2 linked regions of the Oryctolagus cuniculus genome follow. The protein of the gene in region 1 binds, or shares a complex with, the protein of each later gene. Links are inferred from orthologs where the notes say so. Each region holds a gene or a part of one and is shown on either strand. Other genes may lie near its edges.

Region 1 (3,741 bases):
TGTCTCTTTCCAAAAAGGGTTTGAAGCAGCTACAATGAGACTGCTATTCAAATGCTGCAGAATCAAGTATCTGGCTTAATACAAGAGGAAAATTTTCAAGCATAGGAAGCCCCTCTTACAACATGGTGGCAAAGGCTTATTCTTTGCAGAACGATTTCTGGCTGCCCTGTTACCTGCCAGATTCTAGCCTCAGCATGGGAGGCAGTATTTTGGGAAAAGCACGAAAGCAACTGAAATGATTAAGCACATTTCTCACTCTAGGCAAAAACTGCTTCACACACAAAAAATTCCGCACCCGATAGGGCTGTGTGTTCCTTAATCGAAAAGGGCACAACAAATAATTATCGTGGACTTGAGTATTTTTCTCAAGGTCTTTCTGAGGGGGGAAAAATCGCATCTCTTTAAAGATGGAAAGCACGGGACTAAACTCTTCTTTATTGTACTGGGGCTGAACTGTTGCAGCTTAGACTTCGGTTGTCAGTCGATAATGAATGCCGCAGATACCTTAAAGCTGTCAGAAGACACGGTGCTCGGGCTTCCAAGCGCTCCTGTCCCCCTCTGCTAACCTGCCAGGCAAGGGCGAGGCGATCGCTCCGAGAGACGCGGCTAACACTTAATCCTCGTCCTCCGGGGAGGACCTTCAGGTTTTACCGACCACTCGGGGCGGAATTAGCTAAATCTTTGAGACGAAGTATTTGCCGTGGCTACAATGTCCTGCTCCAGTTCTGCTCGAACCCTTCAGGGTTATGTATGAGAACGCAAATTCTCTAGCACCACATACACGGAGTAGTAAGCTAGGCCGATCCGAGTCCGCCAAAATGTCCGCAGAAGTGGCGAGAACAGGCGAGCCTGAGGCATCTCACACTCGGCCCTCACTGTCCTTGGGCCTAAGGAACACCTGACGCGAGCGCCGCTTCCAGTCAGGAGTGCGCGCCTCGGGGTCGCCCCCCGTCAGCAGGCAGCGCGCAAGGGCGGCGAGGGCTTCCGACGCGGCCTCTGCGCCCCCTCCCCGGGCGGGGAGCAGCCGCCCACCGCCTCAAGGCGGGCGGGGGAGGCGGGCTGCAGCCAGCTGCCGGCGAGCGCAGCGGCGGCGCCGTTTCGCCGAGTCACCGGGCGGGCGGGCGGCTGGTCCCGTGTGCCCACGCCACGTCCTCTCCGCCAGGGACGCGGTCCAAACAGGGGACGCAGGGGCAAAGAAACGGCAGCCGCCGCGCCTCAAGGTGGCCCAACGGGCACCTCACTCCCAGGAGACGCCGCATTCTCCTAGAACTTGCGCCCCATTCTGGCAGCGTCAGCCGACCCTTCCCTACCAGCATCACGTGCACCTGGAAGTACGTGGGTGGGACCCAAAGCGCCTACGGAAATGACGTAGGTCGCCCCGAGTCGCATGATGTGGCAAAATGCAAAAAAAAAAAAAAAGGAAGGGGGGGAGGGAAAAGCAGAAGCCTGGAGAAAGTGATGAGTCTAGAAAAGTAGTCCCTGCTGTTCCTCTATTTCCCCGGTGTCGCATCAGGAAGCGAGGCCCCCAGCGCACTGCGCCCCGAATCCCTGCGCCTGGCCGCGGCGCGGCGCTCCGTGGAGGGGTACATAAGGCGGAGGGGGGGTGAGGCGACGGGGCGGAGTTTTGTCGCCGGGATCCTTCCGCAGGGCTCAGCCGTTTCCGGAGTCTGCGCTGCGCCCGGTTCCGCCATTGCGGCTCTCCTGGCCCCTGGAGCCTCCGCCCCCGACCCGAGCTCTCTCGTCTGCCTGCCAGTTTCCTGCGTCCCCGGAGAGTATCCTGCCGAGCCCAGCCTCCCCCCTCCCCTTCTCCTCCTCTCCCTTCGGAGAGCCCGGGCAGCCACTGCCCCGAAGCCCCAGTGACAGGAGGAGACTCTACCCCCCGACAGCGCCATGGCCCAGATTCTTCCAATTCGTTTTCAGGAGCATCTCCAGGTGCGGCTAGATCTGGGCTGCTGCGGGCTGTGGTGACGGTGGTAGGAAGGAAGAAGCTACGGTCTGGGCCGGAGCAGGAAGGGAGGGGTGTCGGTGTTTGGCGTAGGTGGAGGAAGGGGCGCTATCTTGGAAAGCTTAAAGGGTTAAAGGATATGGGGCTTGGGTGGAAAGGACGAGAGTTGGGGTGTAAAGGCCGGCAAGCCAGGCCTGACTCTGAGGGCCTTTCTGTCTTGCTTCCTGGAAGGCAAGAACTGCGCGTGTTATCCCCCCTCCCCTTCCCGTTTTATTCAGTTCATTCATTTGGATAGGGGAGTGGGAGAGGGGAATTCTCCCGAGTTTCTTCCGGCCGGAGCAAGCATTCTCATCATCCCCTGGGCCAGTGCAGGGCTGTCACCCTCCACTGCCCATCTCTTCCCTTTCCCCCCATCGTGTCTGCACCCGGGAGTTGCGGGGCGGGTGAGTTGGGGAGGAGCAACCTTTTTTTCTTCCTCCCTCTGCGGCTCTCAACTGAGAAAGGCACCTTTCCGGGGGCGGGGGGTGGGGGTGGCGGCCGTGGCTTGTCCCTTGCCTTCCCCGAGGCAGTAGGAACAGAAGGTCACTGAAGGAATAGAATGGGGGGACGCAGTTTTCAGGGCGCGGTCAGTCTTAGAGTGCGTGGGGTCAAGGTCCCTGGGGAACTCGCTTGGTTTTCCTTTCTTGATTTCTTTGGGGGTGGTGTGGCTCTTAAATCCTTTTGAGTTCAGAACGTAGCAAAGTGTTACCTAGAGGTTATCTGGGGGGGGGGGGGTCCTCAGGAGTCCATCCGGTGGTTGTGAAATGTGTGGCTTGAGTGCCTCCGACAGGATCGCATGGAATGGAACAGAGGCCCGGGGTTAAGGACACACCTGCCCTGAGTTGGTCTGTAACTCGTTTCTTCTTGGTAGATTCTAGAGTTCTTCCGTAAGTGCCTTACCCTGGAGGCAACATTCTTACGGTTGTCTCTTTGGGCAGCTTGCCAATGGCTAGCCTAGGCAGGTGATCATTGAAGGGCTTCGCTGAATTAGGCCTCTTTTTGAGCTTCTGATGTCCCTGGTTCACCAATCCTGGATTCTCATCAGGAATAATAAATTAACTTGGTTTCTTCCCGTATGTCCCCTTAAAGAAGCCTGCCCCAGGGCCATCTACGGCAGGACTCACTTCCTAATCCGAGGATGCAGTGGTTTAAAATGAGACTGGTTCTGGTAACCTATGGGATACTTTTCCACGCAAGGAAGTTTTATGTACTTTCCCCCATTGGTGTAACAAAAGAAAGAGTCTTGTCAATAGAACAGTTAATATTCAGGCTACGAGTAAAATAATTACATATTTCTTTACAGGCATCACATTTGCTTGCACTAGCAAGACATTATTTTCCTTTAAGGTTTGAAATGTAAAGAATGCTAAATCTTTAACCCATTAAGTAAGTTAAGTAGTACAGCTTTGTTCAGTCACCCAAAACTCATGTAAAGTAATGGAATATACCTTGGCTATAAAAACAGTTTTATGAAAGGTTAACACATGTTAGGTGTGACAGAACGGGCTTGGAAAAAGTTATTTTTTGTGCTCCATCCAAGTTTAATTACTGTGATTACCTCTGTTAAAAAAGGGGTGGTAAATGAGTGTGGAGGATTAGGAAAGTACTGTTCTTGCATGAGAAGGGGAAACCCAGGCTCTTCCTCGCACTAAAGTACATCTGAAATATCTTTCTGCAGACAAATGTTTGTAATGATAACCCAAGAGAAGCTGGTGTGGCTGCTGTTTATTTTACATGGCACAGCTATAGCCCACTGG
Region 2 (3,741 bases), on another chromosome or scaffold:
CCCACCCGCCCCATCCCCAGCAGAGACTCAATTCAGGGCGCAGGCCCACCCCAGACACCTCTGTCCCCAGGGGCACTGGAAGCCCAACATCAGAGCACACAACAGTGGCACTGCTCAGACAGCGACCCCCTCATCTAAGAGAAGGCGGGGCAGAGGTGTTAAGTGGCAGCTGCTGAGGCTGGAGCCAGCTTCCGCTCAGCTCCGGGGAGGCCCAGACCCTCCCCTGCCCCATCCAGGCGCCCTGGCCTCATCTCAGGTCTGGGGAGGATTGTCTGTTCCGTGCTGCCTGCGCTTAGAGGGGCCAGATCAATTCTCCCCAGTGAAGCCGCCCGCTGAGCTGCCCACCACCGCCATCCCCATAGCCACCCAGGAAGGCAGCCTCAGTGGGTGAGCCTGCTTGCCCGAGGGCTGTGTCCCCAGCAGCTCCCTGTAAGTCCCTGGTTGTTTCTTTCCCTGTCACCTTGGATCTGGGGCCAGTCGGTACCCCAGGCCTGCAGGTCGGTGGAGCCCCACTGTTCTGGGAGAGGCTGCAACCTCCTCAACTCTCCCGTGCCTCTGGCTGCCCTGGGCCTGCATCCCACCTGCCCTTCTCTCTCTGACAACTGCTGGGCCCAGCAGGGCCTCTCAGGGCTGAGCCAGACTGGGGGAAAGGAATGGGCTCATCAGGGAGGAGGCTGGATAAATGAATGTTTGGCTCATGAACTTGAGGTGCTGGGAGTTGCTGCTTCCGAAGACCTCTGAGGCTGGCATGCTCAGGTAAGGAAACACCTGCCCATGGTATTTCCACATCTCTTGGTCTCCCAGGGAGGTTGCCACAGCATGGAGCCCAGAGGTAAGCAGCCCAGCTTTGGCAAGAGAGGCAGGCTCTCGAGATCTCCAGTGCCTCACGTGTTACAAAAGATTTGTTACATTTCTTACATGGAGGCCTAAGGGTTGCTTCTAATTCCTGGGTCACAGAAACTGCCTAGTTCTACATCCCCCAGGTTTGGGATGGTGGGGGCAGGACTGGCACACACTAGGTGTTCAGCAAACAGTCAAATAATCACACATATTACTGTAAAGAGCTTTGTAAACATTATATATGAGAATACTGCAGAAATTTCAAAGAAATGTTTATTTGGGTGCAAAAAAATGTGAAATGCATGCATATGAGGGGTCTTCAAAAAGTTGGTGGAAAATGCGTATTATGAAAATTCTATGGCTGGATTTCAGTTTTTTTTTTCTGCACCAAAAAACTCTTTTCTTTAAATTCCATTTTCCACCAACTTTTTGAAAGCCGCTGCATGTAGGGATCCATGTGAGCACTTATCCCAACAGCCCCACAAACTCCTGCAGAAAGACAGCTTTAGCAGAAGCAACGTATGTTTTGGATGTATTCACAAAGATGCCATCTACTTTCTTATTCAGTTTTTTGAGAAAAAAAAATTTCAAACTAAAATCAGAGCAAGAACACCAATGATAAATACTATACCCCAGGGTCCAGGCCCCAGAGCCAACCACAGCAGCTCTGGACTGCCAGTACTCATTCCTGAAGGGCAGGAAAAAGCTGAGGGGTGCCCCTGCCCCAACCCCAGGGGGTGCACATTGGGGACAGCAGGGTCGGCTGGAGAGGCTTTGGAGTGTGACAGAAACAGATTCAAATTCTTCATCTGCCACTTCTTAGTCATTTCAATAGCGCGCCTCCGTGTAGCTGGCTCGGAAATGGGCTCAGCAGTGCCTGCGAGATGATTCACCGGGACTGCCCTGTCCGCCCCCAGGGACTGTAGGGTGGCGGAGGAGGTTTGCGAGTTCCTGGAGTACTAGTGTCCCTGGCTTCCCCCGCTGTGGGCCAGAGCTATGCTGAAGGGCCAGGAGGTGGCTTGGTTCCGCCCACATCTGCACCACTCACCGGGGAGCCTGGGACGGCCAGGCCATTAGAAGGCTCGGGAGGAACTGGATTCCAGAGCCAGGCCTGGCGGCGAAGCTGGCCTGGGGGGTGAAATGTCATGCCGGATTCTGAGAGTCACCAGACCCGACCCACAGTCCCGGGAGAGCGCTCAGCTCCTGCCCCTCCCTGAGGTCTTGCGTGAGGACCTCCAGGGAAATGCCTGCCCACTTCCCGCAGGCCCGCTCCCTACCCACGCACGGCCCCCGGCCGGCCCCTGGCGGGCCTACCGCAGGCCCGCTTCACTGCACGGCAGGGGCCCTAGGCCAGGGGCCCCCGGGGGCCAGCCCCAAGCCCCCAGCTCCCGGGCCCTGGCGCTGACTCACCCCCGCTCGCGGGTCCCGGCGGCGCCGCGGCCACCTGGCCGGCGGCAGGTGCGGCAAAGCCTTCGTCGTTCTCGATGCCCGCGATCTCGCTCTCCTGCTGAGCCAGGAAGGCGGCCGCCGGGTCCTCCTCAGCCGCCCCGCTCTCGGACGGCGGGAAGAAGCCGAAGTCCTCAGCCATCTTCCCCGGTGCCTGCTGCAACCGTACCTGGCGCTGTCACCCGAGCCACCGCGGGACCGGCCTCGGCGCGGCGGCCCCGACTTCCTCTCTCCGCCACCGGGCCCGGCGCGCCTGTCACTGCGGCTGCAGGCGCCGCGGCGGGAGGAGCCGGGAGCGGGAATGTGGTGATGTCACCGGCCGAGGGAGGGGGCCCGGGACGGCCCGGAGGTCGCCTCGCGACGGCCACAGGAGGGCGGCAGCAGAACGGCGCCGGAGCGCCTGGGGGCCCGGCGGGCTGGCTCCTGGCTCCTCGGCCGGCCGCGAGCGCGTTTCGCTCTGGTGGGGTCGGTCGGCGGGGCGCACGGCGCAAAGTGGCCGCAGGGCGCGCTGGGCCGCGGCCGGCCTGCGCAGAGTTCGCTCAGGACTCGTTCGGCCAAAGCCCTCTAGCCTCGGCGGGGTCGGTGTTGGGAACCCTACCACCTGCGCCTGGAGGTTGGGAAGGAGGCTGGCAAAGCCTTCGCCGCGTCGCTCCCAGCACGGCCGTGTCGCTTTCGTGCTTTTGCCCTCCGTGTCTCTTCCTTGGAGGAGGCGCCCGCTCTTAGGACCAGCGCGGCCCCTTCGACGGCCTTTGGGTAAGAAGTGCTGGAGAAAGGCACACTTAATTTATCCAGGCAGGCTACTGGGCCACGCTCGGTAATCTGTCCCTGAATGTCACCTCTCTACCTCTGCTTTGCCAGGTACCAGGGCGATCCCAGGCTAGCCAGACGGACTCACGGCAAAGCAGGCAGACTTTTAAACACAAGACTTTGGGAGACCAGAGCAGCACCATGGAATTTCGGTTGTTTATCATCATCAACATCATCATCATTATCATCATCATTGTTATTAAATTGAAAACCACAGAGAGCGGGAAATCTCTCATCAGCTGGTTCACTCCCCAAATGCAACAGCAGGCAAGGGGCAGGCAGAAGCCAGGAGCAGGGGAACCCAATGCAGGTGGATGGCAAGGACCCAGCTACTTCAGCCATCACTTGCTTCCTTTCGGGTGCACACGGCGGGAAGTTGGAACCCCGGAAGAGCTAGGACCTGAATCCAGGCACTCCAATGTGGGATGGAGACATCTCAGGCAGCAGCTTAACCATGAGGCCAAGAGCCTACCTTATGGCAACGCAGTTAAACCGCTGGTTCTCGTACTGGCTGCCCCACATCCAATCCAGCTCCCTGGGAAGGTGGAGCCTAGGAAAGTGGGCTCCCTGCCCCTCATGTGGAAGTCAGGCTCCTGGCTTTCCTACCTGGCCCAGCCCTGGCAGCTGCAGCCATCTGGGGAGTAAACC

The links. The genes of interacting proteins can lie anywhere in the genome.
Region 2: the proteins of CLTC (region 1) and CLTB are in contact, whole or in part, in a cryo-EM structure (PDB 6SCT), measured with the Sus scrofa proteins. The link is inferred for Oryctolagus cuniculus from reciprocal best matches to the Homo sapiens genes CLTC and CLTB. Residues at the interface, in NP_001139599.1 of Sus scrofa: Gln1291, Arg1293, Gly1294, Phe1296, Lys1326, Phe1327, Gln1354, Ala1355, His1356, Pro1382, Thr1383, Glu1413, Phe1414, Lys1415, Pro1416, Leu1417, Gln1444, Pro1446, Leu1447, Thr1473, Glu1474, Glu1475, Glu1503, Leu1504, Ile1505, Arg1508, Leu1533, Lys1535, Met1538, Lys1562; in XP_005661527.2 of Sus scrofa: Pro100, Ser102, Trp106, Gln110, Leu114, Ser121, Thr124, Glu125, Trp128, Arg129, Ala132, Asp135, Leu136, Trp139, Val147, Asn150, Lys151, Asn154, Arg155, Asp158, Tyr162, Glu191, Trp192, Lys194, Val195, Leu198, Cys199, Asp200, Phe201, Cys209.

Annotation. Positions count from the first base shown.
Region 1 is NC_091448.1:34,910,046-34,913,786, forward strand, and holds the start of CLTC (clathrin heavy chain 1), read left to right. Parts: upstream 1-1,418; 5' UTR 1,419-1,890; coding exon 1,891-1,932; intron 1,933-3,741. UniProt on the Homo sapiens protein: Clathrin is the major protein of the polyhedral coat of coated pits and vesicles. Two different adapter protein complexes link the clathrin lattice either to the plasma membrane or to the trans-Golgi network.
Region 2 is NC_091437.1:62,417,908-62,421,648, forward strand, and holds the start of CLTB (clathrin light chain B), read right to left. Parts: upstream 2,593-3,741; 5' UTR 2,429-2,592; coding exon 2,251-2,428; intron 1-2,250. UniProt on the Homo sapiens protein: Clathrin is the major protein of the polyhedral coat of coated pits and vesicles.